Linked DNA regions of Tribolium castaneum. The protein of the gene in region 1 interacts with the protein of each later gene in a pairwise test. Links are inferred from orthologs where the notes say so. Each region holds a gene or a part of one and is shown in the gene's direction. Other genes may lie near its edges.

What was found.
Region 2: the proteins of Spt5 (region 1) and peptidyl-prolyl cis-trans isomerase NIMA-interacting 1 interact in binary tests that used the Homo sapiens proteins (3 or more experiments, as listed by UniProt). The link is inferred for Tribolium castaneum from reciprocal best matches to the Homo sapiens genes SUPT5H and PIN1.

The regions. Positions count from the first base shown.
Region 1 is NC_087401.1:13,830,301-13,846,810, reverse strand, and holds Spt5 (transcription elongation factor SPT5), read left to right. Parts: upstream 1-2,413; coding exon 2,414-2,571; intron 2,572-4,945; coding exon 4,946-5,251; intron 5,252-5,302; coding exon 5,303-5,440; intron 5,441-5,488; coding exon 5,489-5,778; intron 5,779-8,215; coding exon 8,216-8,857; intron 8,858-8,910; coding exon 8,911-9,156; intron 9,157-11,330; coding exon 11,331-11,912; intron 11,913-12,347; coding exon 12,348-12,692; intron 12,693-14,908; coding exon 14,909-15,387; 3' UTR 15,388-15,424; downstream 15,425-16,510. Other genes in the region: E3 ubiquitin-protein ligase rnf8-B, read right to left, coding at 1,000-1,827, 1,876-1,986, 2,036-2,101. UniProt on the Homo sapiens protein: Component of the DRB sensitivity-inducing factor complex (DSIF complex), which regulates mRNA processing and transcription elongation by RNA polymerase II.
Region 2 is NC_087394.1:12,584,473-12,600,000, reverse strand, and holds peptidyl-prolyl cis-trans isomerase NIMA-interacting 1, read left to right. Parts: upstream 1-8,851; 5' UTR 8,852-8,954; coding exon 8,955-9,009; intron 9,010-9,062; coding exon 9,063-9,266; intron 9,267-9,315; coding exon 9,316-9,536; 3' UTR 9,537-9,789; downstream 9,790-15,528. Other genes in the region: mRpS29 (small ribosomal subunit protein mS29), read left to right, coding at 12,283-13,235, 13,343-13,550. UniProt on the Homo sapiens protein: Peptidyl-prolyl cis/trans isomerase (PPIase) that binds to and isomerizes specific phosphorylated Ser/Thr-Pro (pSer/Thr-Pro) motifs.

The DNA.
Region 1 (16,510 bases):
AGATCGTCCATAAGCACAATCGATAGTTCAACTTTTTTTGAATCACAGTGTATCTTAAAATGTGGGGCAAATCTTTCGTAATATGCACACTAGATGACCTTTGGCACCTCTTGCCATTGTTCCTCCACCACTGCTTTCCGTGCGCTGGGAAAATATGAATAAACAATTGTCAATTTGTTCCGAGTGTACTTATGACGTCACGGGATGACGATGTCGGTCATCGCGCTCTAGATCAACTACTGCTGCATGCGACATTGCATAAATCTTTGATGCGGTTTAAACCTTTTTTTTGACGTCATCATTTCGAAAATCTTTCCCTAATAATTAATACGTTTAATTGCTTTAATTTATTATCGATCAGACGTGACATTTGAAATATCTCTCCCTAAGTTCATCTCCACTTCCACTCGTAATATAATTTAATTTCATGTTTCATTCAATGGGAGCAAACGCAGACCGAGTAATCAATGAATTCAACATTTTTTTCTATCAGAATAATTTAGCTAAAATTACGTTAATGTTGATAATTATTTTGACCTTTTTTTCTTATTGGAAGGAAAAGCTCGAAATTATCTATTACATTATTTTTGCACAAAATATAGCGTGTTTTATGTAAAAAATATAAATTTGCATTGTAAAATTTTGTACAAATAAATAGCGTCACCATTGTAAAAAATTTTTGGAAGCCCCCTCCCCCCAAAATTAATTTCTGGATCCGCCCCTGGAAACTATAAATTACAATAACTATTATTTTTTTAAAACTAATTTAAGAGAAAATGCGATATTGGCGTTTTTATAGTTTTGAAACAGCCAATAGATACTTAAACCAAATTACAAAATCGTTCACTAGAGGGCGCCGAGGTTACTGAAACATCGATCTAGAGTGCACAGCTGGGATTAAACAAAAAAATACAAAAAAACATAATTGTATTTAGCAAGATAATAGAAAAAAAACAAACATTTTATGATTTAATTAGACAACTACCAAAATTACACATTTCATAGCCTCTTGAAGGGGCAACTGTTGGCCCAATGCCCGGCCTGGTTGCAAATAAAGCACCTCCCATAGCCCCCATAATACCTCCCCCTGGGCCTATCCGGGTAACAATCATACACATCATAGTCATGGTCATCACTTAAATAATTGTAATCGCTATCCTCATCTTCCACATCCAGATAATCCTCATCATCGGAATAAATCTCAATCACACGCCCTGGCTCCACGTCCACCACCTCTGGAGACCTAGTCGAACTACTCGCCATATTAACAACCATCTCCTCCCTCTGCTGGATTAGATTTTTCCGCGTCTCTTTCACGTCATCACTTTGCGTTTTAATAAACTTCTCGATAAAATTATCAAGGACTAGAGTCGGCGCGATATTTGTGATAGATTTGCGGCAAATGGGACAATTCGACTTGTTCTTCATCCACCTATCGATGCAAAACTTGCAAAACGTGTGCGAACAGTTCAGTGTAACAGCCTTGATGAACAGCTCGGAGCAGATGCTACAAGTGAGCTCTGTGTCTACATCCTCCGAGTTGGGCTCCGGCTGGGGCTTGGCCTCCGGAGGCGCGCCCTCGGCAGCAAAGGGCTCCTCCAACTCCTGCAAAAGCGCCTCGTCTATCACCTCCAACTCTCGCTCAATTGCGTTGAAATCTTGCTCGTTTAAAGGCGTGGCGTGAGATTCACTACTTTTGGGCGGGTTAAAACAAGTGAAGACGAAGTCTAAATTGTCGGGTCCTAACTTGATCACGTCCCCGTCCTTCAGTTCGGTGCTTTGGTTGAATTTGTACAGTGTGGAGTTGACGATTGTTCCATTCGTGCTCTAGAGTAGGCAAACGGTAACTGGGCAAGGGGGCGATGGGGCGCTTACCCGGTCGAAGAGCGTCCACCGGTCGCCGTTCTTCTTAATGAAGCAGTGAAATCGGGAAACACCGAGGGACTCAATGATGTGATCACAGCTGAGGCTTCGCCCGATTGAGAACTGAAAAAAACCGTGAGGCATCGATTGGTTTACGTGATTCTAAACGTACGGATGAATTGTTGATTGTAATGACGGAATCATCGTGCGAATTCACTAATTTCGGAAATTCTTCCATTATTTTGATTTGTAACTGACATCCGACCAACAAACAAGAAAAATTTAGGGAGTTTTGTTCCCCACCAAGTGACTGCTGCGCATTTTAACGTTACTTGAACAATTATTTATACACTTTTAACTGCTATTTCGTGTAAAATTTTCAATGCTTAATTGCTAGACTCGCTCTACGAAGTGTTTAAATCGTGGGATTAATTGATTAAAAGTTTGAATCTGGGGTTGGTAGCGCGTCCCATGCGCCATCATCAATCAGATCAAAATGGCGTCACTTGAGTGAATTTGTGAATTTTTGGCTGTTTTTGCAAAAGTGAGAATGTCGGACTCTGAGGGAAGCAATTTCTCTGATAACGCGTCGGAGGCGGGCTCGGTGCGGTCGAGGAGTTCCCGCGGGAGCAGGTCAAGGTCGCCGAGTCGCTCCAGGTCCAGGTCGCGGTCCCGGTCCAAATCTGGGAGCCGTTCGGCACGTTCTGGGTATGTTCCATATGGTGGAAGGTTTTCAGGTCGTTATTTTGGGGCTCGGGCTGTTTTACACGAGGATGGGGATTGAGTTGTGTCTCTGTTTTTGTGAGATGTTTTTGGGGTTAAGGGGACCTAAGGTGACTTGATGATGTAGCTTCATGATTTGGTTTGGTTTGAAGAGTTCAGTCAATGCAAGAAATGCTCTTAAAAACGTTGTTTTTTCACGTTGGAGTACAATTATGTGAAATGTTGGATAACAAAATGAAATTACGTGAATTCGTTTTGATTGGGATGTTTTATTAATAGAAAGCTTTGCTAATTGAATTTAAATTTAAATTTAATTCGTTGTTAAAAGTTAACAACGCGAATGGACCAATCAAATTGGCTCAACTTGGTCACGTGATCAGTTAATCACGCATTTAATTGGGGATTAAATTAATGGAGCTTCTATAAACCGATTTAGTTTTATTGTCAATTAAATTATAGAAGGTCTTAAGCCAAAATTTGAAGAAAATGGTGTTATAATTTATTTTTCGAACATTGTCTTTATCAAAATTATATAATTTTTGTCTCTTTTGAGTGTTTGATGTTTAGTTGTAATAGAAAATTTGGTCAAAAAAGCCAATAAAGCATCAATTTGTTCGAAAATGGTGTTATTTTGTCTTTTAACTTGGTTAAAAAAAACTTTGTCGAACGTTAATGCACTTTTTTTTTACAAAGAGCAATTAAAATGATATTGTGTTTTTTTAAAAAAGCATTTTAATATGTTTTTCAGCAGAAGCGCACTATTTTTGCAAAATCATGTTTTAAACAAACCGATATTTTTTTAATTATGACAAAAATTTTGTTATTACTTTTTTTGAGCGTTTAACCACTTTCTTGGTCGTTTTCTTTTAACAGATTTCATGAAAACTCTCAAATTATTAGCTGGAAAGTTATATTTTTCGAGTGTTTCAGTACGTTTTATTGCCAGAAACAATCATTTTTTAAAATATTGTCAAAAATGAGCCAAAATTATGTACTATACAGAAATTGGTGTTATTTCTAAAATTTGTAATAGCAATTAATTTTGGAAATGTCATTAAAAAGCCTATAAAACATTCAATTAATTTAAAAATGTTGTAATTTTTGAGTGCTCTGAGAAAATTTGAAGCAAAGATTAAAGTTTTTTGAGTGCTTTGGTTAAACCGGGCCATAAAAATAAAAAATTGTGTCGGGAATACTATTTCTGCTTTTTTCTTTTCGACCAAAAAAAACCACGCAATTATTTTGCCACATTTTGTCAAAAATAACTCGTAAGATGACTAAATTATGTGAAAAATATATTATAATTATTTCAATATTCGAACATATTTTTCAGCTATAATAAGAATTGTTGCTTGAAATTTATTAAAAAAAAAGAAAAAAACGTAAAGTATTAAATTATTTTGAAGAAATTTTGAAGAAAAATCTTGAATTTTTTAGCACGTTTTTTAATTATGTTACAAAATTTGATAAAAAATACTCGAAAAATGACAAAATCGTGTGGAAAATAGTCTAGTTTCTGCAATTTTTGAGCGTTTTTTCAGTGTTCGAACATTTTTTTAACCATGGTAGGAATTGTTGGTTGAAATTTCGTCAAAATGTGCCGATAAAGTATCGAATTATTAAAAAAAACTTGTAAATTTTGTCTTTGCTGAGTGTTTAAAAGAAATTTTGAAATAAAAGATTGGGTTCGTTTGTGTGATGTTATTAAAACGAGTGGAAAAATCAGAAGAAATTATGTGGAAAATGATATTTAGCAGTTTTTTAAAAATCTTATCAAAATAAATCGTTAAAAATCACGATGAGAAACTTACAAATATTATCCAACGTTCATAAAAGACCAATCTATGCTACAATTTTTATAAAAACATAATAAAGTTTGTGTTTGCTTTTTTATTATTTTTGAAAGAATTTTGACAGTTCTTCAATCTACAAAACGGTAATCAAGGCATTTTTAAGTCATAATTTTGAATAAATTTGGTCACTAAGGTTGAAGTCTACAATTGCATGTTTTTTTATTAATCAGCCTATACGTTTTTTGTCATTTTGTCACGACGTTTTTTTTTTTGCCAAAAACGCAATAATTTCTCGACATTTCGTTAAAAAATTTGGTTTAAAATGCTGGTTAAACCATAACTTGTAATATAAAACCTACAAAACTTTATTATTCAGAGAAGTATCATCGAAAATAATTTTAAAAAATCGGGTTGACAATGACATTATTATTTATTGTTTTTTTTGTCTCGTTTTTTCTTTCTGATTAGTTTATTTTAAGTCTTCCAACTTTCAAAATTATCTTGTTTTTCTATTTTTCCTATTAATTTCAATAAAAATAATTGTTTGATTTTAACCATTCTTGCAGTTCTGAGGCTCGCGAAGCCTCCGAACCGGAAGAAGTGGAAGAAGAACAAGAGCCAGAAGGCGATTCTCTCGACGAATACGACAGCGAAGAAGACGAAAGCGATTCAGGTCGTGCCAAAAAAAAGAAGAAGAAGGACAGATACGGCGGTTTTATTATTGACGAAGCGGAAGTAGATGACGAAGTCGAAGATGAAGATGAATGGGAAGAAGGAGCGCAAGAAATCGGTATCGTACCGAACGAAGTTGACGAATTCGGACCCACGGCCCGTGAAATCGAAGGAAGACGACGAGGAACGAACCTCTGGGAGTAATTTTACCCAAAACTTTTCGTACTAATAATTACTTGATAATTCTCTAGCGCACAAAAAGAACACGAAATTGAAGAATATTTGAGGAAGAAATATGCCGATGATAGTGCGGCTGCTAAGCACTTCGGAGATGGGGGTGAGGAAATGTCAGATGAGATCACCCAACAGACGTTATTGCCTGGCGTTAAGTAAGTTTCTAATAATCGTAACATTTTTTTTTTTAATTTTTTTGGAAGGGATCCGAATTTGTGGATGGTTAAATGTCGCATTGGTGAAGAGAAAGCGACAGCTTTGCTTTTAATGCGCAAATATTTAGCGTATCAAAATACGAGTGAACCTCTTCAAATCAAATCGGTTGTGGCACCAGAAGGTGTCAAAGGTTACATCTACATCGAGGCTTATAAACAACCCCATGTCAAAGCCGCTATCGAAAATGTGGGCAATTTGCGGATGGGGATTTGGAAACAACAAATGGTGCCGATTAAAGAAATGACCGATGTTTTACGAGTGGTTAAGGAACAGACTGGTAGGTTTTTCAACCAATTCTAGAACTTAAGAAACTTCCCGCTTCGATCTTTAAAATAAAATAAATTATTTTTTTGTTGTTTTAAAAGTTTTGAAATGATTATCACCCTAAAAATTCATAATAATTTTAATAAATGAAGTTGGTCGGTTTTTGATTTATGGGACAATCCATCTATTAAATGGCCATAATTTCTCCAAAAATAGTGGACGTGCGCAAATACTAAACAAACTCAGTTAAGTAAAAAATTTTCGAAATAAATTAAATATTTTCGTTTCATTTTTTTTATAATTCAAGAAATAGTTATCTTAGGATTCAAAGCTAAAGTTTGAAGTTATGTTTCACCTTTACGTTCATCTTTTTTTCTCTCAAAACAAAAGATATTTTCCCTTTATTACAATGTGCTCTTACGTTTACAATTTAGTGCCTTTACGTACTTTTACCTTTTGCCGCATTATTTTCTTATTTCTTTCAGTTTTATGCTCCGCTTTACGTTTATACGTCTATGTGTTCTCTTAATCTCTTATTTTTGCTTACGTGTTGTTTCCTTACCTTTTATACACTTTTTTTCATAGAAAAATTGTTGCTCTGATCCGGGTTCGAACCCGCGACCCCTCTGGTCGTAAGTGGCGCTTATACCACTGAGCCACCAGGGCCCCATGTACTGACCGTGTTTTGCAGATATTTTAACACAAACTTTTTAGATAAATCAACATTACAAACTATATAATTGCAATAATTCACCTAAAACGCAAATACATTCAGTTCAAAAGTCGGCGAATTAGCTCGAGAAAACATTTTCTTCCACTTTTTTTCAATTTAATTCTCTAATTTTTCACCAGATTCCGTCAAAAGATACCCGGCGTATAAGTTGATTCTACAATTTTAAAATTGTTTTTATCTTTTTTTGTGACTTTCAGCACGTTTTTGACCGAAAATGAACATAATTTTTTCAAAAATTACCAAACTTGTGTATTTTCTAGTCAAAAATATTGGACGTGTGCAAATCCTACCGGATTCGCAGTGGCCATGATTTTTATTAACAGTGTTTTTCGGGACTTTGCTAAACAAACTCATTTAACTAAAAAATTTTAGAGATAAATTAAATATTTTCGTTTATTTTTTTTCTAATTTAAGAAGTAAGTCATCTAAGGATTCAACGCTAAAATTTGAAGTTATGTTTCACCTTTACGTTCATCTCTTTTTCTCTCAAGACAAAAAGTATTTTCTACATTTATTACAATGTGCTCGTACGTTTACAATTTAGCGCCTTTACGTACTTAAAACCTTTTGCCGCATTATTTTCTTATTTCTGTCAGTTTTATGCTCCGTTTTTCGTTTATCCGTCTATGTGTTCTCTCAATCTCTTATTTTGCTTACGTGTTGTTTCCTTACCTTTTCTACACTTTTTTTCATAGAAAAATTGTTACCCTGATCCGGGTTCGAACCCGCGACCCCTCTGGTCGTAAGTGGCGCTTATACCACTGAGCCACCAGGGCCCCACGTACTGACCGTGTTTTGCAGATATTTTAACACAAACTTTTTAAATAAATCAACATTACAAACTATATAATTGCAATAATTCACCTAAAACGCAAATACATTCAGTTCAAAAGTCGGCGAATTAGCTCGAGAAAACATTTTCTTCCACTTTTTTTCAATTTAATTCTTTAATTTTTCACCAGATTTCGTCAAAAGATACCGGGCGTATAAGTTGATTCTACAATTCAAAAATTGTTTTTACTTTTTTTGTGACTTTCTGCACGTTTTTGACCGAAAATGGACATAATTTCTTCAAAAATCACTAAATTTGTGTATTTTCTAGTTAAAAATAGTGCACGTGCGCAAATCCTATTGGATTCGCAGTGGCTATGATTTTATTAACAATGTTTTTCGGGACTTTACTAAACAAACATAGTTAACTAAACATTTTTAGAGATAAATTAAATATTTTGGTTTAATAATTCTTAACGCCGATTACGTGGAAATTATTAGAATTGGCGCTAAAAGTCCGATTGAAGTCGCTGTTAAAAATTTATAACATTATGCAAGTTTTAAGGCGTAAAAAGATATATAAACCAAACGCCGATTACGGTGAAACTGTTGGAACTAGTACAAAATACGTCAAAAATTTATAAAATCAGAAAAGTTTTAAGGAATCATATTGTAAAAAACCGGCACCCTGATGGAAAATGAAAATTAACAATTGGGAGTGAACTAATTTACTGACCTTAAAATCAGAAATTAGCAAAGTTTATGGGCTTGGATATAAGCTGCACATTTTTTTTTTTTCACCAAAATTTAGACCTTGGCGATTTCCGTGTTAAAAAACAGTTTAGGTCTGTTCCATCATGTGGCGCCCAACGTGGGGCCTGAAAATATACTTCCAAAAAAACAATTTTTAATACGAACAATGTATAAGGATAATATTAAATTTTAGGATTAAAATCAAAGCAATGGGTGCGTTTGAAGCGCGGTCTCTACAAAGACGACATCGCCCAAGTCGACTACTTCGACATGGCCCAGAACCAAGTCCACCTCAAACTCCTGCCTCGAATCGATTATACTCGTCTTCGAGGTGCTCTCCGCACCACTCAATCCGAATCGGAGGCGGAAAAGCGCAAAAAGAAGCGTCGCCCACCTAGCAAACCCTTCGATCCGGAAGCCATCCGTTCCATAGGAGGTGAAGTGACCTCCGACGGTGATTTTCTCATTTTCGAAGGAAACCGCTACTCGCGTAAAGGCTTCCTCTACAAGAATTTCACTCTCAGTGCTGTCATAATCGACGGTGTTAAACCAACACTAGCCGAATTGGAACGTTTCGAAGAACAACCCGAAGGTATAGACTTGGAATTACCGACCGAGAAGGAGGACAAAGCCGTCACGCATTCGTTCAGCGCTGGCGATAATGTTGAAGTGTGCGAGGGTGAATTGATTAATCTTCAAGGGAAAATTATTAGTATCGATGGAACAATGATCACGATTATGCCGAAGCATGAGGATTTGAAGGAACCGCTTTTTTTTCATGCGTCTGAGTTGAAGAAGTATTTTAAAATGGGGGACCATGTTAAGGTTTTGGCTGGTATGTGACTATTTGTTTGTTTTGTAAGGTTGGTGGTAAGGGATGGTTTATAGGTCGGTACGAGGGTGATACGGGATTGGTTGTCAGAGTTGAGAATAATCGGGTTGTTTTGATTTCTGATTTGACGATGCACGAAATGGAGATTTTACCAAAGGATTTGCAACTTTGTACGGATATGGCGAGTGGAGTGGATTCGTTGGGGAAATTTGAATGGGGGGATTTGGTCAATTTGGACGCGGAGACGGTGGGAGTGATCGTCAGGTTGGAGAGGGAGAATTTTCATGTTCTCAATATGCACGGTAAGTTCTGGCATTTTTTCTTAAAACATTTTTTACAAAGTATAGATATGCCTAAATTTATAGGAAAAAATATTAAATTTAAATATTAATATTAAATATTAAAATATTAACAGTTAACTAAAAAAATTTAGAGATAAATTAAATATTTTCGTTTAATTTTTTTATAATTTGAGAAGTAAGTCATCTAAGGATTCAACGCTAAAGTTTGAAGTTATGTTTCACCTTTACGTTCATCTCTTTTTCTCTCAAAACAAAAGGTATTTTCCCTTTATTAGGATGTGCTCTTACGTTTACAATTTTAGCGCCTTTACGTACTTTTCCTTTTTCCGCATTATTTTTTTATTTTTCTCAGTTTTATGCTCCGTTTTACGTTTATACGTCTATGTGTTCTCTCATTCTTTTATTTTTGCTTACGTGTTGTTTCACTTACCTTTTCTACACTTTTTTTCATAGAAAAATTGTTGCTCTGATCCGGGTTCGAACCCGCGACCCCTCTGGTCGTAAGTGGCGCTTATACCACTAGGCCACCGAGGCCCCAGGTACTGACCATCTTTTGCAGATATTTTAACACAAACTTTTTAAATAAATCAACATTACAAACTATAATTGCCTTAATTCATCTAAAACGCAAATACATTCATGTCAAAAATTGGCGAATTAGCTCGAGAAAACATTTTCTTCCACTTTTTTTCAATTTAATTCTCTAATTTTTCACCAGATTCTATCAAAAGATACCAGGCGTATAAGTTGATTCTGCAATTTTAAAATTGTTTTTACCTTTTTTTGTGACATTCAGCACGTTCTTGACCGAAAATAGACAAAATTTCTCCAAAAATCACCAAATTTGTGTATTTTCTAGTCAAAAATAGTGGACGTGCGTAAATCCTACTGGATTCGCAGTACCATGATTTTTAATAACAATGTTTTTTGGGACTTTACTAAATAAACTCAGTTAACTAAAAATTTTTAGACATAAATTAAATATTTTCGTTTATTTTTTTTCTAATTTAAGAAGTAAGTCATCTAAGGATTCAACGCTAAAATTTGAAGTTATGTTTCACCTTTACGTTCATCTCTTTTTCTCTCAAAACAAAAGGTATTTTCTCTTTATTACAACGTGCTCTTACGTTTACAATTTAGCGCCTTTACGTACTTTTACTTTTTGCCGCATTATTTTCTTATTTCTGTCAGTTTTATGCTCCGCTTTACGTTTATACGTCTCTATGTGTTCTCTCAATCTCTTATTTTTGCTTACGTGTTGTTTCACTTACCTTTTCTACACTTTTTTTCATAGAAAAATTGTTGCTCTGATCCGGGTTCGAACCCGCGGCCCCTCTGGTCGTAAGTGGCGCTTATACCACTAGGCCACGAGGGCCCCACGTACTGACCGTGTTTTGCAGATATTTTAACACAAACTTTTTAAATAAATCAACGTTTCAAACTATATTCGTCAGTGATTTTTAACCAAGTAACGAAAACGTCCGTAAAATAGAAATATTACGACATTTTTGACGTAATATTAGCTTTTTCTGCTTTTTTGCGAAATGATTGCGCATTTGAAACATGATGTGCTAAAATGCCTTAAAAATTATTATTTTACTAATTTAATTTACTATTTCCACTCAATTTAGTGATTTTTTGGTGGTATAATTCGTGGAAAAAATGTGCTTAATCTTTGAAAAAAGTTTGATTTGGTGTTTTTTTTTCTCATTTTAGACGAGATTTTGTGAAATAATTACGTTTTTACATAAAGTTTATTCTAAAACGTAAAATTAAGATAATTTTTGACCAGCTTAGGTAGGTATTTTTTGGTATTTCAGCGAAATTAAATTTTTGTTTTCGAAAAATGTAAAAATTGAATTATTTTGTGATTTTCCGCGTTAATTTAATTCATTTGCTCGTAGTTTTGACGAAATTTTAAGGAATTGAGTTTTTACTGACGAACTCAGCAAAAGGCAAAAGTGATGTAATCTATGACCTAATTTCATGATTTTTGGCCGAAATATCGCAAAACACCGTGTTTTTGCTCAAACATCATTTTCGTATTATGTTTTTTTTTTGACGGAATTTTGCCAAATAGTTGCAACAGCGGCTCAAAGAATGAACAAATTTACGAATATTCAGTGGAAATTGAAACTTGAAAAACACGAATAATGTGTCTTTCTATTTTCTAGGGAAGGTGGTCGAGTGCCGTCCCGGCTCGTTGCAAAAACGCCGTTTAAACCGTTTCACAGCCGCCTTAGACTCCTACCGTAACAATCTCCATCGCAAAGACATGGTTAAAGTCATCGACGGTCCACATTCCGGCTTTTCCGGCGAAATCAAACACCTGTATCGAAATTTTGCATTTTTACATTCCGTTGAATTTCTCCAAAACGGCGGTATTTTCGTTTGCAAAACGAAACATTTACAACTAGCCGGTGGAAATAAAAGCGTTCCAAGTGCCGATATTTCAACCGGAATGGAATACATGTCACCGAGGAGGAGTTCACCGATGCATCCTTCAAGTGGTGGCGGCGGTATGGGTGGATTTGCAAGTCCCCGACCTGGGGGTGGGGGTGGAGGCGGCGGCGGAGGCGGCCGTGGGAGGGTGTCACGTGATCGTGACATCATCGGTACTACCATCAAAATCACCAAAGGGCCTTATAAAGGCAATATCGGGATTGTCAAAGATGCGACACAGTCAACGGCAAGGATTGAATTGCACACTTCGTGTCAGACGATCAGTGTGGATAGGAGTCATATTGCTGATGTTGGTACGGTCATTTTTCAAAAAAAAATTTTTTAAAAATTAATTATCACACAGAAATCAATTTTTATTTATTTTATTTATTTAGTTATTTTTATCCGAACGTACTGAAATCTTGCATACATACGTAATCTCCCTTACCTTGCGATTATCTGAATTTATAATCAGAGTAGGCGTTTTTTTTCTTTGTAATTGATAAACTAGTGTAAAAAAATATTATTTGACTCTACAACTTGATTAATTATGATAATCATGTTTTTATATGTGCAAGTTTATAAATTATAAATATAGTCAGCGTGATTACTACTTTTTGAGACACAGTCAAAATATACTTTTAGCAAACTCACTCTGCATACAACAAAAGCTTCTTTGGTTGCTGATAATTTTTTTGGATTTTTTTTTGTGGCTGAATGTTTTGATAATAATTGTTAATTAATTTTAGGTACGCCTAGCAGGGATGGCAGTATTTCGAGTTATGGCAGGACGCCTGCGTACACCGGAAACCAGACTCCGTTGTATCGTGATACCGGAAATAAAACGCCGATGTGTGATTCTGGTTCTCGTACTCCACTGCATTATGGTGGTTCAATGACGCCAATTCATGATGGTTCAAGGACGCCAAATGCTTCTTCTGAATGGGATCCGACCGTTTCTAATACGTATCCATCGCCAGGATATAATCCGGGCACTCCGGGATATCAAATGAATGGACCGTTTACGCCACAAACTCCGGGGACTATTTATGATTCGACTTATAGTCCGTATCAAGCTAGTCCGGGATATCAAAGTAAGTTTTTTGGAAATGAAAAAAACATTTTTTTATCTCAGTCTAGCAAAGTTTTGTGGACTTTTATATGGCTTTACAACCCTCTGGAGTTGTTAAAAGTCTAAAAAAAGTCCACACGTTCGATTTTTTTTATGTTTAATTTTTCCAATTTTGTCGCGATTTTGGTCGATTTCCAGTACCCGGAACATTTATCGAGCAATAACTCCGAAACTATTAAAGATAATCCCATGAAGTTTATTATCGTTGGAAAGCTCTTTAAATTATCTATCTTTTTCAAAAAAGATCATTGCTCTCCGACTAATAGTTTTCGAGAAAATTACAAATAAAGCAAAATAGGTAGAATTTTAAAAAAATCATAACTAAAAAACTATTGGGAACTTGGCAATTTTCTCGATGCCAATCGATTCCCCGGATCATTTTGCATAGGTATGGATAAAAATAGTTCCACTTTTTTGAAGAGTATTGCCGTAATTTATTTTATTTTAATTTGAAAAATGGTGGATGGCCGAATTATTTTTCAAAAAATTTATAACTCAAAAATTAAAAGTCTTAGAGCAATGCGGTTTGTTCCAGTGAATTCAGCGGCTCATTTTCGGTATTATACCAGCTTTCAACGAGATCTGGCATTTTAAAATTTTTTGCTAAAAATTAAGATAGGAATTTCTATAGTGAAAAATTTTATTCAACAAAAAAATTCATAACTCAAAAACTAAAAGTCGTAGAGCAATGCGGTTTGTTCCAGTGAATTCAGCGGCTCATTTTCTGTGTTATACCAGCTTTCAACGAGATCTGACATTTTAAAATTTTTTGCTAAAAATTAAGATAGGCAATTTCTATAGTGGAAAATTTTATTCAACAAAAAAATTCATAACTCACAAACTAAAAGTCGTAGAGCAATGCGGTTTGTTCCATTGAATTCAGCGGCTCATTTTCTGTGTTATACCAACTTTTCACGAGATTTAAAATTTTGGTTTTTTTTGCTAAAATTTCACTTACCATCAAGAAACTGAAAAAATTATTTTTGTTTAAACTTGTTCTATCATAGTTTTTTGAACTTATATATGCTTTAACAACCCTCTAGAGTTGTTAAAAGTAGAAAAAAAAATAATTGCTCTGATTTTTAGATTTTTGATTTTTGCAACTTTTGTCGCAATTTTGGTCGATTTGGGTACCCAGAACATTTATCGAGCAATAGCTCCGGAACTATCAGAGAAAACCCCATGAAGTGTATTATCGTTGGAAAGCTCTTTAAATTATCTATTTTTTTCAAAAAGATTATTGTTCTCCGACTAATAGTATTCGAGCAAATCGCAAACAAAAGCAAAAATTGGTAAAATTTTAAAAAATTCATAACTAAAAAACTATTGGGAACTTGGCAGTTTTCTCAATGGCAATCGATTCCCCGGATCATGTTGCATAGGTATGGATAAAAATAGTTCCACTTTTTTGAACAGTATTGCCGTAATTTATTTTATTTTAATTTGAAAAATGGTGGATGCGCCGAATTATTTTTCAAAAAATTTATAACTCAAAAATTAAAAGACTTAGGGCAATGCGGTTTGTTCCAGTGAATTCAGCGGCTCATTTTCGGTATTATACCAGCTTTCAACGAGATCTGGCATTTTAAAATTTTTTGCTAAAAATTAAGATAGGAATTTCTATAGTGAAAAATTTTATTCAACAAAAAAATTCATAACTCAAAAACTAAAAGTCGTAGAGCAATGCGGTTTGTTCCAGTGGATTCAGCGGCTCATTTTCTGTGTTATACCAGGGTTTTTTTCCTTAAAATTTTAATGGTCAAGGTTATGTAAAACCTATTAAATTGCATTTTTTAAACTTTTTTAATCGTGATTTTGTGTAATAGGTCCTAATACTCTTGAGGTAAAATAAAAATACATAGTGTTAAAAAAAGAATGTAAAATATTTACTTCATTTCACTCATTCTCGCAGAATTTTCCTTTTTTGCAAAAATAAAACAGAGTGTACACCGTTACAATATAAACATTCCTCATTATTTATGCAGATATTTGCAATTATGTGTTATGATTGAAAAAATTTAGAAAAATTGATGAAAACAGTTATACAACTTCCGGAGGAGAAACGTAATCTTACAATACTAACCGAGCTTGACCATATGTGGGTTAATAACGTTCTTATTACAAAATGATGACTTTGTAATTGTTGGGATTACACTTTTTTTTGTTTTTTTTTTCCAGGCGCTATTTCGACTCCGAGCCCCGCCACAGGCTACGGCCAATCCCCCGCCAGCAACAACCCCTACAACACCCCCAGTTCCGGTTACAGCCCCAACATGCCCTACAACCCTCAAACGCCCGGAGCCGGTCTTGACGTGCTCCCAATGACCGACTGGCATACGATCGATATCGAAGTCCGGATCAGGGACAGTCACGACGATCCGGGTCTAGTCGGCCAAACCGGAATAATCCGGAGCATTTCCGGAGCCATGTGCTCGATTTTCCTACCGGAGGAAGATCGAGTCGTTAATATTATTTCCGATCATTTGGAACCAGTGCGACCACAACGCGGTGACGCTTTCAAAGTTATCATCGGTGAAGAAAGGGAAGCAACTGGAGAATTGCTTTCCATTGATTTACACGAAGGCGTCGTGAAAATGAAGAACGATATTAAAATGTTGCCGCTTCAGAATTTATGTAAAATGAGGAAAGATTTATAATTGTTTACTTTCATTAAAAGCGATAGGAAGAAACCAAGTTTTGGTTTAATTTTCCCAGAACAAGAGTGAAAATAGCATGGGGGTAAGTCCGCGCGCGTTGCCAAATTATCAGATATTTCGCTGCGTTTTCACACCTTTTAAAATGTTTTTTCATCATTTAACCTTTTTAGTGGGTGATTAACCAAATATTATTGCATTGTCACATACATTACGTATGTATGAAAAATTTCAGTTCGTTCGGATAACGGGTACCCTCTCAAATTTGACAAACAGACAACAAAGAAAGTTAAAGAAATGCTTTAAAAAATAAAATTTATAACAAAACCAAAAACATTATTAAATTTTGGAAGTTTTGGATTTAAAAAATATTGATATTCAAGGATATTTATCGAAAACATTAGTTATTTCGATTAGAAACTCAAAAAAATATAAACAAATTAAGTTACTCTCAGTTGGGATTTTATTTTTGTAGTGTCTGTTTTATTATTATTATTAATTATTTATGACTCAATTTATCTGATGCTTCGATAAATGACGGTTTTATGTTTGTAATTTGATTAATATTACTGTTTTTGATTAATTTGTATTTTTTATTATATAAGGAATTTAGAAAACTTCTGAAAAAATTCCGTTCATTTAACTTTAATTTTTATGTACATTTGCTGACTTGAAGCAGAAACCCAATAAAGTATGAATTTAACGACAAAGTTTTTAAAGGTAGGTACTTTTAACTTATTAGTTATCGTAAAAGATGAATGTTACGTTCTGTTTTTTTTGCACGAATTTTTTTTATTACTACTGTCTATTAGTTGATTCAAAAAATTGTAAAGTATTCGTAATTGCATAATTATTACGCTTGAAGAACAAATATAACAATAATTTACCAAAAATAATGGTAATAATTATTGCAATTGATAAGATTCTAAGCGAACGTAATTATTGTTTTATTAAATGAATCTTGAGACTGGCGTCTTAATTCACTCGTTCTGTAACTGTTGGAACAGTTCGTCCGATAAATAAAAGCCAAATTGTATTGGAGGATTTATTTATTCTTAAAAAAAATACATCCTAGTCATATAAAGTATGTATAAGTAGCTCTGCTTGTTTTGTAAGGGCCACAATT
Region 2 (15,528 bases), on another chromosome or scaffold:
CCTGATTCACAGGATTAAAAATTCAAAATTAAATATCTGAGGAAATTCGTCTTGCTCTTGATGAGAAACCTTTCTTCGACCAGACCCAAGATTTCTATTTTTTGATAAGTAGTGTCAAATTAAAGTCAAAGTCCGTTTTAATCAACAATCAACAAAATTTAATCAAAAATCTGCTACCAGACTTGTTCTACTTTTTTGTCCACAACTGTTTTTTTAATATTTTTTTATTAAAAGTGTTTGATGTCTACGTTAGGCTATTATAGACAGTCATCAGAAAGCTATAACATCATACACGTGCCTAAAGTACAATGTGTTTTTAAATGATTCTCATCTATTTAATTTGAAATTGGTTTACATCTAAAAAATTTGTGCCGCTCTGCTCAATTGAATTCTCTGTCAATAAATGTCAAAACTCTCAGTTGTGAAATTCACAAATTGTCAATTAATTTATTTAAAAAATTTGGTTAAAATGCAACTAAACTGTTACACTTTGCAAGAAAGCACTTTTATTGTTAAAGACTTAATAAATGGAGAATGGTAACATTGTCTAAATGCTTGTCATTAATTCTATAAAGCGGCATTTCTGATTTTACATGAGAAATTCACAGACGACTATGCAGAGATTCCTAGTAAGTGGAAATTTTGTAACATAAGGTCGAAAATGAACTGAATAAGAGCAGACCTGTGGAATTTTAACATGTCAAAAACTGACAGATCAGAATTCAAAAACAATTTTTCAAAAATTAATTTCTGTATGGATGGTCAGAAAATTATAACATCATTTATGCCTAAAGTAATTTTGTTATCTAGAAATTCTTAGCAAGTGGAAAATTTATAACATGAGATCGAAAATGAACTGAATTAGAGTAGCCTGTGCCTGTGGAATTTTGACCACATGTCAAAAATTGACAGATCAGAATTTAAAAATAATTTTTCAAAAATTATTTTCTTGCTTAACCAAAATGTTTACCAAATGGTATTTACCACGAAAACAAAATAAACGGAGAATGGAAATATTCAATTGGTGCATGCTTAGCAGAATTTCGGAAGTAATATCCCGATTTTACAAAATTTTATAAAAACAATTAATGAAGAATAAATTGTGGTACCAAAAAGCTTAGCGGAAGTTCTTCCAAAAGGACTCGAGAAAAGTTACACACTTAACTTTCAAGGCTTGCTCTAATTCAGTACATTTTCGATCTCATAGTATTTATTTATTCATATTTCCAGTTTATAAAAAATTGAGATTTTGACATTCTGTACAAAAATAACAACAAAACCATGAATAAAGTAAATTTGTTAGATTACTCTTTCAGTTTTATTTGTTAAATAGTAATCAAAGAGACCTGTGCTTTTTTCATATCTTCTGCCTCCACACAGTTGCCAACTGAATTTCAGAGTTACAAGCCATTTTGATGAGTGATTTAATTGAACGCGTGGTAGATATTTTATCACAAGTTACAAGTAAAGTAATTTTATTTTTTACCTTTTTACCAACAAGCTGTACAAACATTTGATAAACCGATAATAATCTTAATCTGATCAAAAATTTCAAATTAAAAATTGGCAAATAGGTAGGAGTTAGATTTGAAAAATTACTACATTCAGATAAGGTAGCAAAAATAACGTTGACCCATTTGTAATTCAGGAATTTGGGAAGATATCGGCAAACTGACGATGACTCACTCAGGCAGGTAACGCAGGTCTTACTTCACCTGTCTCCTTTTCAACAGGTGTTTTCTTTTCATACCCATTACAATAGTTATTTACACGAAACGGCGTTATTTAAAATTTCTTAATTTTAACCGCCTCTTCACTGATAATAAAAAACCGTTCAACCGAATTGTGTTATTTCAGCAATTGAATATTATTTAATAACTTAATGACCTACATTTAATCGAGGGCAATTACCCGACACACAAAAACCCAACAAACCTTAATTAAAAATCGCAAACTCACCTAAAATGATCCGAAAACCCTAGAATATGTTTTTGTTTACCATAAAAGAACACCCACACTTTCACCAACAACCACTTGACGAATTCGAAACAAATAAAATCAAACTTTACAATATCGTCACATGAACAATCTCCCAGTTCTCACACAAAATTAAATCTTTCCAAATAAATTAAAAACGAAGAGATAAATAAAAACAGCAATCGCCGTATTTGACGTGTCTAGCGTCGCACGCGTCGATACCTAACCACGCAAATGTCCAAAATCGAACTGTCACCGCCCAGCTGATTACAAAATTGTATGCAGCTAACCTCACATGTATTAAAAACGATCATTTACACGTGGCTGTGGACAAGCGACGCTTCTGATTGGTGCATTTTCCAACAAGCAACAAAACCGACCAATCAAAAGCCACCAAAACCCGATGCTGGGCGATAAGTGAGCGTTGCGACCCGACGATGAACAATCGCGTGAAGACAGCTCCACAACCTAGCTCCTTCAATTTCCGAAAATGCCCGAACACGAAGCCAACTTCACACTAGCAAAATAAGCAATTTTATATATTTTGTTAACCACTTTATAGACGTAGAATAAATTAAAAAACTGAAAAAACACAAAACGCCCTTTCAAATATGAAATTTTGAAAAAGGGAAAATTTTGTTATTGGTAAAAAATATATTATCAGAAATTTGCATAAACATAAAGAACATTTATAAAAATAAGTAACAGTTAAAAGATTGGTTCATGTTTTTTGTAAAAAAAAAGGTAAAAAAATTATGTTAAAAAACCGAAAATTTAGTTTCTTTATTTTTGAAAAAACGCCCTCTGATTCAGAAAACTTATTGGTTTCAATAAAAAGGATTTTGAATCAGATTTAGATTCGAATTAAATTACGAAGACCATCGACATCAACTCAGTGACAAACGAAAGACTTAATTTTTGGTTTGGCTCTTAGTAAAGTGTAGAATCGAATCAAAAGTCTTTATAAACTCTGAGAACGTTAAATTTAATTCTTCTAATCAAAATAGAAAAATTTTGTTAAATTGTGAGTAATTGTAATCTAATCTAAGTTATTATATATTATATATTATATAGCAATTTACTAGTTTTAAATACATCTACAAACTGATTATAGTATAGTATTATAAGCGAATGAGGTTCAATCTGTAGGTACAAATATATTAAAATGTTGAGTCAAAAACTAAACTGCTCAAAAAAAGTTAGGGCTGTAAGTACGCATTTTGAGATTAATCGTCTCTAAGCGAGAAAATTGTTGCTGGAAAATACGAAACTGGTACAACTCTAAACGATAAAATAAAAAGTTTCATAGAAAACGTATTTGATATTATTTTTCATGCGGCTGTAAATTTTTTTTTATAATTTAGTATATCATTTTTTAATCAGTTTATTAGTTTAGCAACATGCAAAATTAACTGAAGTCTGGACAGTGTCGTTAAGGGAAAAATATTAGATTATTTATATATTACTGATATTAGGTGTTATGTGCCCAATAAAAATTTTGATGGCCCACCTATGTGCCCACCCAAAAATTAGGAGCTAGATCCGCCACTGTCATTAATACAACGATAAAAAAACGCATATTACAAAAACTTGCATAACAGAATTATTGTCGAAACAATATTAAAAAACATAAACTTGTCTATATAGCTTCAAAAATGCATTATCCTAACTCTTTTACTTCATTTAACCCCGAAATCGGTTTTGTCACACAATGCCCTTTTGGCCATTGATACAGCAACAAAAAGACATTTATTACAAAAAATTGCATAACAAAATTGTTATCGCACCAATATTAAGAAATATAACTTACTGCAACGTCCACAAATGCAGAGATAACTGAGGTAACTGTTTTTACCTGAAAAACTTTGAAGTTGTCAAATTACTACCCATCGATTCATATGACTGGAGTGAAATATTGACATTTATACTAATTTTATATAAAAAAAACAAAAATATAATAAAGGATTGATTATAAATGAAATAAATTGGAGAATTTATTATTATTGTCCCTTTGGACAATATTTTATGTTATCGCCTAAAAAGCATAATCATGAAAATTTTATAATGCAATGAATTACTTCAGTTTAAATGATTCTCCTCTCCCAAAAACTTTTTTATCGCAAAATACACTAGAAAGATAAACCGAATCGTGTATTTTAAAAGAAACTTAACATTACCTATTAAAATCATTTGGAATTTCGGGATTTGGATGCATTTTTTCTGAAGTGACTGTTAAGAGTGATGAGATACAAAACACAGTGACAATTTAAGTATACGTGAGTAATTTATTAATTGGAAATGGTTTTCTAAATAAAATGAAATAAGATTTGCTGTATTTATTTGTTATAATAGGACATTAAGCGCCGTTTTACGTTACAGAGAGTAAAATTAGAACTTAATTCCGTATTAAAGTAATCCGACATTAATTTGCCATTTAAAATGCATTGACAACTGTCAAATTAATCTAGAATTAAAATTTAATTGCAGTTAAAATGTTCTCTAAACCGACTCTAAGGACCGGTTTACAGAAGCGTCATTAATTTAATTCGCAATTAAATGCGTGATTAACTGATTAACTGGCCAAATTGAACAAATGTAAATGAACCATTCTCGTTATTAACTTCTAACAACCAATTAAATTTTAATAATGGTTTCTATTAAACTTTTTTCTTTAACTAAGTAATAAATAAAACTTGCAAACAAACCAACAATTTTTTGACTTCTTAAAGTGTCGAAACGACGCAACGAATTTAAGTTTTTTATTATTTGTTTGTGTTTTAAGAAAATTAATAAACATTCGTCAATTTAAAGAAAAACTTCTTTTTGGTATTGACAGTATTGGTCAAAATTTTAATCAGAGTATTTCCAGAAATAAATTACTCTAATGTCCATTGATAACTTTTATTCTAGTTATACCAATTTTTTCAAACATTTAATAAACAAAAATGTTAATAAAATCTATTGAGCGATTAATAATCGAACGATTAGAAGTATAAACGTTTTTACTTGAAATTTGAAATGCAAATTAGATTAATACTTTTTGTTTTATCTAGTTTGATGCACTATAAGTTTTGTAAGAACGGTCTTTTTGATTATAATTTGTAGCAATGAAGTTTTAAAAATAATAATTACTTTGATTTAAAATATTTTTTGGGCAACCGATTACAATCTGATCTTTTCGTGGTCTAAGTCTTGAATAAAAATTATATATCGACAACAATATGAATTAAGAGTTTTTGTAAAATATTTCTACGGTAAAAAAGTTGTGGCAAAAGTTAATTAAACAAAACTGTTTTTTAAATGTCACGTTATTTTATTTTGCAACAAAACTTTTTACTTTAAGAAAACATATTAGAAGGCACTCCCAACAAATAGTAAAAATTTAGTTAACTTAAATTTTTAATTCGCAATGAAAGTTTAACCTAAAATGTAAATGAAATAAGAGTCCGTGTTAAGCATGTTTGTTATTCAGCAAATTTTAGTCGATGTTAAAATTTACTTATTAAAAATTCCAACAAAAATGTTTAAACATTTTAAAAATCATTAAACGAAATGTGAAACATCATTCAAAACTCTTTTACGATGTCAGATGATTTATGAGTAGTAGACATTCATTTATGAAGCGTCATTTTCTTTTTAGGCGGCTGTACCTATATGCGGTGGCGTTTGTAAGTTTGTATTGACACCAGAGGAAAAAATACTCTGTATATACCATTTCTGTTCACAGTAGAATTTTGCAACAGCGCATTTGAATGTTTTGAAGGTATAAAAGTACAAATTGAAAGTTTCTGAATAAGAAAAGAATTCTGGTAAAATAAATATTATACCAGCGACAAATTTTGAACCAAGAATTTTGGAGCTAGAAAATTTATATTTTTTAGTATTGTTACGACAACTTTGTTACAAATTTTTTTTGTAATAAATGTCTTTTTTTAACGCCGTGTTAATAGCCAAAAAGGCATTGTGTAAAAAAACCGGTTTCTGGACGCAGTAAAGTTTGTAATAAATCTCTTTTTATTGGTGTTAATCTGCTTTTTTTTAAAAAAAAAGGCAATTTTTAGTAAGTAATTGATTTTTCACCTTAACAAATTTTCCCTCTTTTAAAATACTGGATTTAAGGCTCTAGACCCTCTGGGAGCTGGCGCATACGTTTTACGTGTAAACTGTTTTTACTGTTTTTAGCCGCAAATTTAGACTTGAAGAGTTTCTTGACATTTGCAGTGTTTCTTTATAAGTAAATGTAGGTCGAAGATTCATTTTTGATTGAAATAAATGCCTAGATATTTTTTTATTAAATAAAATGTCTGTTAATGAAGTTGATACGAATTTTTGATAACGGTGCATTGTATTGAGAATTTAAAAAAACCATTTTATAGGAAATTTAAAAATACAGACTTGAGATATTTTAGATTTTTGTTAACTGTTCTCAATTGTTAGATATAAAGCAAAAATTAAATTGTAAGTAGGCAACTTTTAATGCATCCTTCTTCAAATGCGTAGCTAGCTGGAAGAAGATTTATGACGGGTTTAGGACGCACCGCTGGAGGTAACCACCATTGGGGTGACCCACAAGATAATAATTTTATTGCATTTGTTCAAGACAGAGAAATGTATCGGCACAAATAGGAATTTTAGCGATTTCTCTAATAGTGGTATAAAATTAAAGCACATGATTTCGGAATTAATTTTTTTAACAAAATAATTAGGTACCTATAGATTTGCATTACGTTTTTTTTTGTAGACACTGCTATCAACGTATCTTATGAGATTTTGAAATACGAGTAATCACGCTCACTATTTTTTTTGAATACTTTTAACAATAAAATTATTCCTGTTTTAAAAAAAATATAAAAAAAGATGATTAAAACTTTGGTTGTACTTAGCTTCGTTCTGCACAGGTTTTGTGATAGAACTACTGAGCTCCCTCACCACGACAAGGTGTCAACCCAATCTGCACTTTGAATACGAATTTTTCTTTTATTTAATTTTGTAGCTTGAAGTTCTTTGGTTTTTAATAAGCGATTTGAAAATTTTGTGGTGTAAATGCCACTATTCCCTGATATTTTCTCCATAATTTTAAATACAAATTTGTTTTTGTTATTTACATTTACGACTGCCGCAAAGCATCTTCCATGATAAGAACCGCGTTCTGAAAAATTTATTCTTTTACCCCCAACAAGTTTGTTAACCACTGAATTAAATGACTCAACAGAATTATTATCGACATCATACAATAGACTTGAAGATAAATTTGCAACTCGTTTTAATGCCTGCATGAACAACTCAAACAAGTAACTATTTTTAAAGTCAGAATATGCAACTGCATTTGTTATTTGACCAACTGTTTTACAAAAATACGTAGCGCACTTTGAATGATTACCAAAAATATGTGCAGGTCCATTTAAAATATCATTTTTCAGGTTTTCTGCTTTTTGATCGAAAGTACAGTTTTCGTTTTTTCTGTATTTTATCGCTGAAACAATTGCGGTTCTAAATTTCAAATAATTGTTGCGCAAAAAAGTTTTTATATTTATGTCAGAACGAGGAGTTTTAGCGATTTCTCTAATTTTAGTACAAAAATTTCGTAGTATATGATTTCGGCATTCAATTTTTTTAATAAAATAATTAGGCCCGTATGGTCTTGCATTACGAATTTTTTTGTAGACGCTACTATCACCATCTCCTATGAGGTTTTTAAATCTTACGTTATGCATGTCTACTGATTTTTTAAATCCATCCAAAATAATTGCTGCTTCCATTGAAGTTGAAGTGTTTTTCCAATTTTTAAAACATTTATGAGGGGGCGTCGTTTGGTTTTTTTTCTTATAATACATACATTTTTTACAATTTTTATTTTTAACTCCCACGTATAAAATTTTTTTAGTCCTTGCACCGACTATTGTTGCAACACCAGAAGATGCGTTATATTTTAAAGAAATACACAAAATTTATATAATGTAAGAGTAACGCAGCTATATCTTCGCAAGCTAGTTATAGAAAAATTGTATAAATTTAATAAAAAAACGAGAAATAATTCCTAAATTCTAAAATAATACATAATTATAAAAGTATCATTTATTTTACAAGGCGTAACGTAAACAAATTATATCCCTAAGACTGGATCTTACAATCTCTCGATACGTTATTTGTACTATAATTATTACTGGGTATAGTTAGAATAAATTTTTACAACAATGTATTTTTCAGAATTTATTACCTGGATAAAATTATCAGACGAAAAAGCGGGTTTAATGAAGTTTTCATCATTTTAATGAGATATTCCTAGTAACTTTTTTAAAGTTAAACTGTTTTCTGAAAGAACAATAATGTTTCACCAATTAATTTTTTTATTTTATATTTTTTCAATGCAAGTGATCCAATTAGAAATGCACATGACACATAATATAGCGAACAGAATTCGGTTAATTAAAACATAAAACCCAATAAATAAATGGTGTAATGGTGTATTATTTTTTACAAAACTATGCTAGTATTTTATTATTCTTTAGTATCAAATTTTTTTAACAAAATAAAAAACGTCTTTTTTACTGTATGTTGCTTGAATCTCTGAAATAAGAGAAACTATCGTGGGCGATAGTGGAATTCAGTTTGTTTACATTATTTGCATTTTATGAGAAGGGACAAGACACCCCGAGGCGAAGGTCGGATGCCTATCCGATGATTGACAGCTGTCACTGAAAACAGGTCTAAAAAAGTATGCAACTTGTAGTACACCAATTCTCAACAATCGCTTCGGTACCCTGAAGCCTTAAGAGAAGTTTGTGTTTTTCAGTTTTTCTCAATATTGAACGTCTTTAGTGTTGGCAACCAACCATACAATCGCTTATTTTGTTGGTGTGAAAGTGGTTTGTGTCCGGGTATTTCCGGAAACTGAAGGAGCTAACTCGTGTAGCTGTCTTCACAGAAATAAAGCCTCGAGTGAAGTTAGCCGATAAATAAACACGCATTCTAGGAAAATGGCGGACGAACAGTTGCCTACTGGGTGGGAAAAGCGGTTAAGTCGGTCAACCGGTAATTCGGTTAAGTTTTAATCATTCTCCCTTGACTCAAAACGTGTATTTTAGGCCAACACTACTACCTGAACGTTTACACCAAAGAGTCCCAATGGGACGTTCCCGACAAACCGGCAGAACCTGTGTCTTCGAGCGGCCCCGAACAAGTCCAGTGCTCACATTTACTCGTCAAACACAAAGACTCGCGAAGACCGTCCTCTTGGCGAGAGGAGAACATCACAAGGACTAAAGACGAAGCCTTGGAATTAGTCAAATGTGAGTGTTTTTGGCCAAGAAATGTCACCACTTTTGAACGTTTTTTCAGCGTATCGCGAACAAATCGTCCAGGGCAAGGCCTCGTTTGCTGACTTAGCCTCAAAGTACTCGGATTGCTCGTCTGCTAAACGAGGGGGCGACCTTGGCTCGTTCAAACGGGGGGCCATGCAGAAGCCCTTTGAGGAGGCGTCGTTTGCGCTCAAGGTTGGGGAGTTGTCAGAACCTGTCTTTACCGATTCGGGGGTGCATATTATTCTGCGTACTGTTTAGATTTGTACTCTTTCTAGACCATTTTTACATTTATTATAAGTTCATTCATGTTCTTTCAGGTCTTGTTAACGTAATTTATGATGCATCTATGCCAAACAAATTCATATTTATATATATTGCGATGAGATTGGAGCTGTAAATTTAGTGTAAATTTCTTTTATATTGTACTTTTTACTTATTAATGAGGTAACTTATTCCTGATACTTTTGTTATTTTGTTTATGCACAATAAAGAGCCCTAAGCACTCCTGTTAGCCCGGATTTTATTCCAGAATCAAAAGTAAAACATTTGCTAAGATGCAAGCATAATACAAGTGAGGATGAGAAGATTTAAATCAATAATAGGTAATAACTATCTTTTATTTTCAAAGTGCCTTTCGCGTAGTTACAATAGTTCGAAACTACTAATACACACAGATTTTTTTACACAAAAAGTATTGTTGCAACGTTTTGCTTGTACACCATTAAATTTTATTGAGATTACTTCAAACCAGGATGTAGTCTTTCAGACGAACCGATCGGTATCGTAAATATCTTTTGGTCACCGTTGTCGAAACATCTTATTTTGAGGATTGTTTATCATAAACAGCATTAACTGCTGTAAAACGTTATGGTGTAACTACAAAGAAAACGATGCTTCAATAATAATCAATACAGGGTCTTCCACGTAATTTTACAAGGCCTGCGCCTGTAAAATGCAATCAACAATACATATTCCAATACGAACTCGATTACAAATTTTGAAAGATTGGATCTCTAGCTTGTTCATCCCTTCAAAAAATTGCAACACTTTTAATTAGTCGGTGATTAAGTTAGGTGGATTAGAATCATATTTATTCCGTTTCTTGTTAGAACACATGAAAATTGTTTCTGAAAAACATTTTATGAACATTAATGAAACAGTGATTAGTGCCCACCTAAAAAATCTCTACGATATTTTGAATACTTGCAACTTTGCATAAACATAAATTACATTCTAAAAATAAGTAACCGTTAAAAGATTGGTCCATGTTTTTTTGTAAAAAAAGTGAAAAAATTTTGTTAAAAAAACGTAAGTATCGTTTTCGTTTATTTTGGAAAAAAAGATTCAGAAAACTTATTGATTTTGAATCAGATTTAGTTTCGAATTAAATTACAAAGACCATCTACATTTTTTTGTAACTCAGTGACAAAAGAATCGAACCAAAAATATAGCGAAGTTAAGGGAAAAATATTAGATTATTTATTACTGATATTAGGTATTATGTGCCCAAAAAAAATTTTGTTGGCCCACCCATGTGCCCACCTAAAAATTAGGAGCCATTTCCGCCACTGTCCTGCTTACCGGATGAAACTTACTTTTTATCAAATATAATACATGATGTCCATTGAGTTTTCTATTTGTTTCGCCTCCATTTCCTTGGAATACCTTCATTATACCTAATGGGAGACTAAAATTAGTGCTTCTAATTTTCCAATATATTATTACTTACCATTTATTATTAGATCCAATAAATCCAAAAGTTACAGCAATACAAGGAACAAGTCACAAAATCTAAGTGTAACACACTATCACCAAATTTTCCCAGCAAAATATTAAGGGAAAACAAATTAAAAATTACAAATAGAGCCCAAATGGAAAAACATATCATTTAGACCAATTGACGATATGAACTAGTACCATGCGGTTATTTGAATTTATAATTAGCGTAGGTGGTTTTCTTTCTTTATGATTGAAAAACTAGTGCAAATTGAGGGAAAAATGCATAATATTAAGTAGGTACTGGCCGAAATTCTGATTAATTAAGATAATTACCGTTTTCAAGTAAGTACCCAAGTTAAAAAAGTATTAAAGCCTACTCTAAGTATGAATTCATTGTTCACATGGTAGCAAATATTTTGCTTTGTACGTGAAGATGAAAAATTCCGAAAACGGTAGCACAAACAACTACAGTTTTATATTAGAAATGGGACACTTCGAGCTCAATATCTTTATTCCTTTAAACATCTTTTCAGTTATTAACTTTAAGCATTTGAAAACTCATGATTTTGGATAGACAACTTAATAATTTTTGTGAAGCAAACACAAAAAACCCGTTGTTCCATTTAACTTTTTCAAGTTATTTAACTTTTAACAAACTTCTTAAATTTTTTACGTTCCTATAATCGTAAGCACTACATTTTTGAGTTTAAACTTTCCCCTTTAACGTGGTAAAGTCCTACTTTTCTGGGTAGTTTTTGTGTAATAATATGATTGAAAAAAAAACGTGTTTTCGTCAAACAAATCAAATTATTTCAAAAACTCTAAGCAGAATCGACCAATATAAGATTAGATCAAAATTATCAGTTTTCAGCTACGGCCAAAAATGCAAAAAATATAGGGGAATTCATTTAACAAACGTAACTTTGCATTGTAATTTATTTCTGAAACACTGTGTATATTTGAAAATAATTTTAGTTGATGCAGGGGCTTTTAGTATCTACGCCTTTTGTAAAAAAATATTTTTCATTTATTTAAAGGTCATTAATGGACTTTTCCAACCCGCTGGGAAACCTGTAACCCCTGTAACCATATTCATATTCCACAAAGTGAGGTTATGTTTCAACATTGTTCTTTCGAATCAAACATTCAACTCTCGAAATAATTTTATTTATGAAACACAATTGAAGTAAAACGAACTTTTTCACCGTCTTATCTGCTACGAAACTAAAATTAGTAAGAATGAGCAACTAATAAGCAAAAATTTGAGGTTATGTTAATTGCAGAAATGATCAAATCCGGCACGTTCAAGTCCCTGTTGAGACGCCACAAAAACGTTTTGCACTTTTGCCAATTGTCTTCAGCCGCCCAACCACAGTCAGACCCCAAAAGCCACAGTTTTCGTACCGATGAGAACGACCCCCTTAAACACACCCTTGATCATGTGGGGCAGTACTACAGAGTCCCCCAAAATGAGTGCAAAGTATATCTATACGGGGGTTTACCCAAATCGTACGAAATCCAAACAAAGACCTTCAATGAAACTTGTTTAATGGTGAGGAAACCTTCAGTCGATATTATAAATTGTTTGAAAGGGCTTGATTACACAAAACCCGCCGTACGTTTTGTCCTATTTGGTAAAAAAGGAAGTGGCAAGAGTTTGACAATGGCACATGTGTTACACTACGCCCAAAAGGCCGGTTTTTTGCTGGTCCATGTCCCTTGGCTGGGCAATTGGATGCGGAACCCTAAGGAACTGAGCAGCTCTGAGACTAGAGAAGGGTTTTATGATTTAAATCTGGACGCGGCTGCGTGGTTGGTGCACTTTAAGTCGCAGAATGAGCATTTGCTGAGCGCCCCTGAGCTTAAAACGACTCGGGAGCATGTTTGGAGTAAACGTGAGAGTACACCAAAAGATTCTAGTTTGCTTGAATTGATTGATCATGGCATTAATCGGCTGAAATATGCATCAGAGTGTGTTCTTGCCCTAGCTGAAGAATTGAAACAATTGACTAAAGCTGGAAATTGTAAAACTCTAGTGGCAATTGATGGTTTCAATGCGTTTTTCTACCCAAAAACTCGTGTTTTTAAGGAGAAGAAGGAAGTGGTTCCGCCAAATAAAATCACACTGACTGAGGCTTTTCTCAGTTTGACCAAATTTGATTGGAATAATGCGGCAATCGTTGTCACAGTTGATGAAATTGCCATTGCTGAGGAAGATCACAAGTCGCATTTTCCAAGGTATGGATCAAAGTGGCTCATGATTTTGAAGTTATATTGGCAAAATTAAATAATTTTAAAGTTACACATTTAATTTAGACATTTTGATCAAAATTTTTTTTATTTAGGTATCTCTTGGGTAAGGAAGGATTTGAACATTTGGACCCTTTTGTGCCCGTTTTTGTTGACGCTTATTCACCAAAAGAGCTCACAAGTTGTATGGATTATTACAGAGAAAGGAAGTGGGTTAGGTATTTCCCACAACAGGATGAAGAATTGGCGTCACTAAGTGCATATAATCCTTATAAATTAATGAAGTTATGCATATCGCTTTAAATGTAACTTAATTAGAGTAAATAAAATTGAATTACAGTAATACTGATGTCTTGCTTTTAAATCGATTACTGCCGTTGAGAATCAACACCACAAAAAACGTATTTTTAAAACAACCATAATTTCAAAATCGTATAAAATAACCGGCTGCGGTCAAATCAACATTAATTAGAAAACGTTTACTCAGCCATTTGAGGACAGCAAAATTTTCAAAATAATTTTAGTATGTAAAGGTTCTTTTAAAATAGACGATTCGGTTTATATTAAAATGTATTTTGCTACGAAAGAGTTTTTTTGTGGATTTAAAATGGGATAAGATAATCATTTAAATTGAAGTAATTCAATGGATTTAAAAATTTACATACATTGTCTCATAGGCGATAGGTATGTCCCATTTCAGTTCATGGTAGAATTTCACAGCGCATTTGAATTTTTCGAAGTGAAAAATAAAGCACAAATTGAAAGTTTCTATAAAAGAAAAGAATTCTGTCTTATTTTTTACTTGGTTAAAGAAGATTCAAGAACAAGAGTAATATTTTTTAATTTTCACTGTCTAACTTGATATTGTTAATGTCTTTAATAAATAAAACCATTTTGAATAATTTTTCTCATGTTATTTTTCTACAAAGGATTTTTTGTCTCATCCGTCATGTTTCGTTCGTCATACAGCGTGGAATTTTTAACTGGAATAAAATTCATAACTTTGATTTAGCCGATTTTGGTGAAAATTTCCGAAACGGGTTAATTTTTATTTTTCCTTGCCTACTATTTGGTGCATATGGTTTTGTTTATCTGCTGTCAGAGATGCACAGCCTCCTATAACTTTTTTTTTCAAATGTAATGGTATGTCAAGTGACACCTCGTATGAAAGCCTTTTTTGCAAGCATTACAACGCACTATTTGATTTTTTGAATTTTTTCAAAGTCTACGTGATAAAAAAATAAAACACAATTTTATAAGTTGAACATTATTTAAGGCAACAATTGTTCAAAATGGGTACCGTTCCTCTCCTGGGAAATATCATAACGATAGTAGTATGTATTTCTAACATTTTTCAACATTTCTAGTGTGATTTGCCTATAATTTCAACTTATAAAAATTGATTTTCATTTTTTTATCGCGTAAGCTTTGAAAATATTTAGAAAAGAAAGAGTACGTTGCATTCCTTACAAAGTGGTCTTTCGCATGAGGTGACACTTGACATACCGTTACATTTGAAAAAAAAGTTAGAGGTGGCTGGGCATTTTTGAAAATAGATAAACAAAAACCGCATGCACCAAATGATGCGCAAAAGAAAATAAAAAATCGACCTGTTTCAAGATTTTTTACAAAGATCGCTTATATCCAAGTTACAAATTTTATTTTAGTCAATAATTCCACACTGCTTTAATTTTTTATCACTTGGGCATTGATAATATTTAGAAAACAAAGAGTGCGTTGTATTCCTTACAAAGTGCTCTTTTACATGATGTGTCACACAATAACATACCGTTACATTTGAAAAAAAAGTTGGAGATGGCTGTGCAGTTTTGACAGCAAACAAACAAGAAACATGTCCACTAAATGATGGACAAGAAAAAACAAAAAGCGATCTGTTTCTGGAATTTTTACAAAAATTGCCTATATCCAAGTTATAAATTTTATTCCAGTTAAAAAATTCACACGGTATGGAAACAAAAAGTAATTTAATCAGAAGTTGTTACTGATTCGCTTGTTCTTAGGTTTCGTGGTTGCAAAAAATTTCAACAAGTTCCACCTTTTACCAATAAGAGTAAAACTAAAAGTGATGTTTGAAATCTTTTGAAATTTTTCAAGCTAGGGAATAGAATTTTTTAATGTTGTTTACCGTGAAAATTATTTAAATACGTACCCAAACACACGATCATCATGCGTAATATTTATAAAAATAAATTTAAAATAATTTATACACAAGGACACCACTAAAAAAAGAAAAAATATTGATTATTGTACTCGTACATGT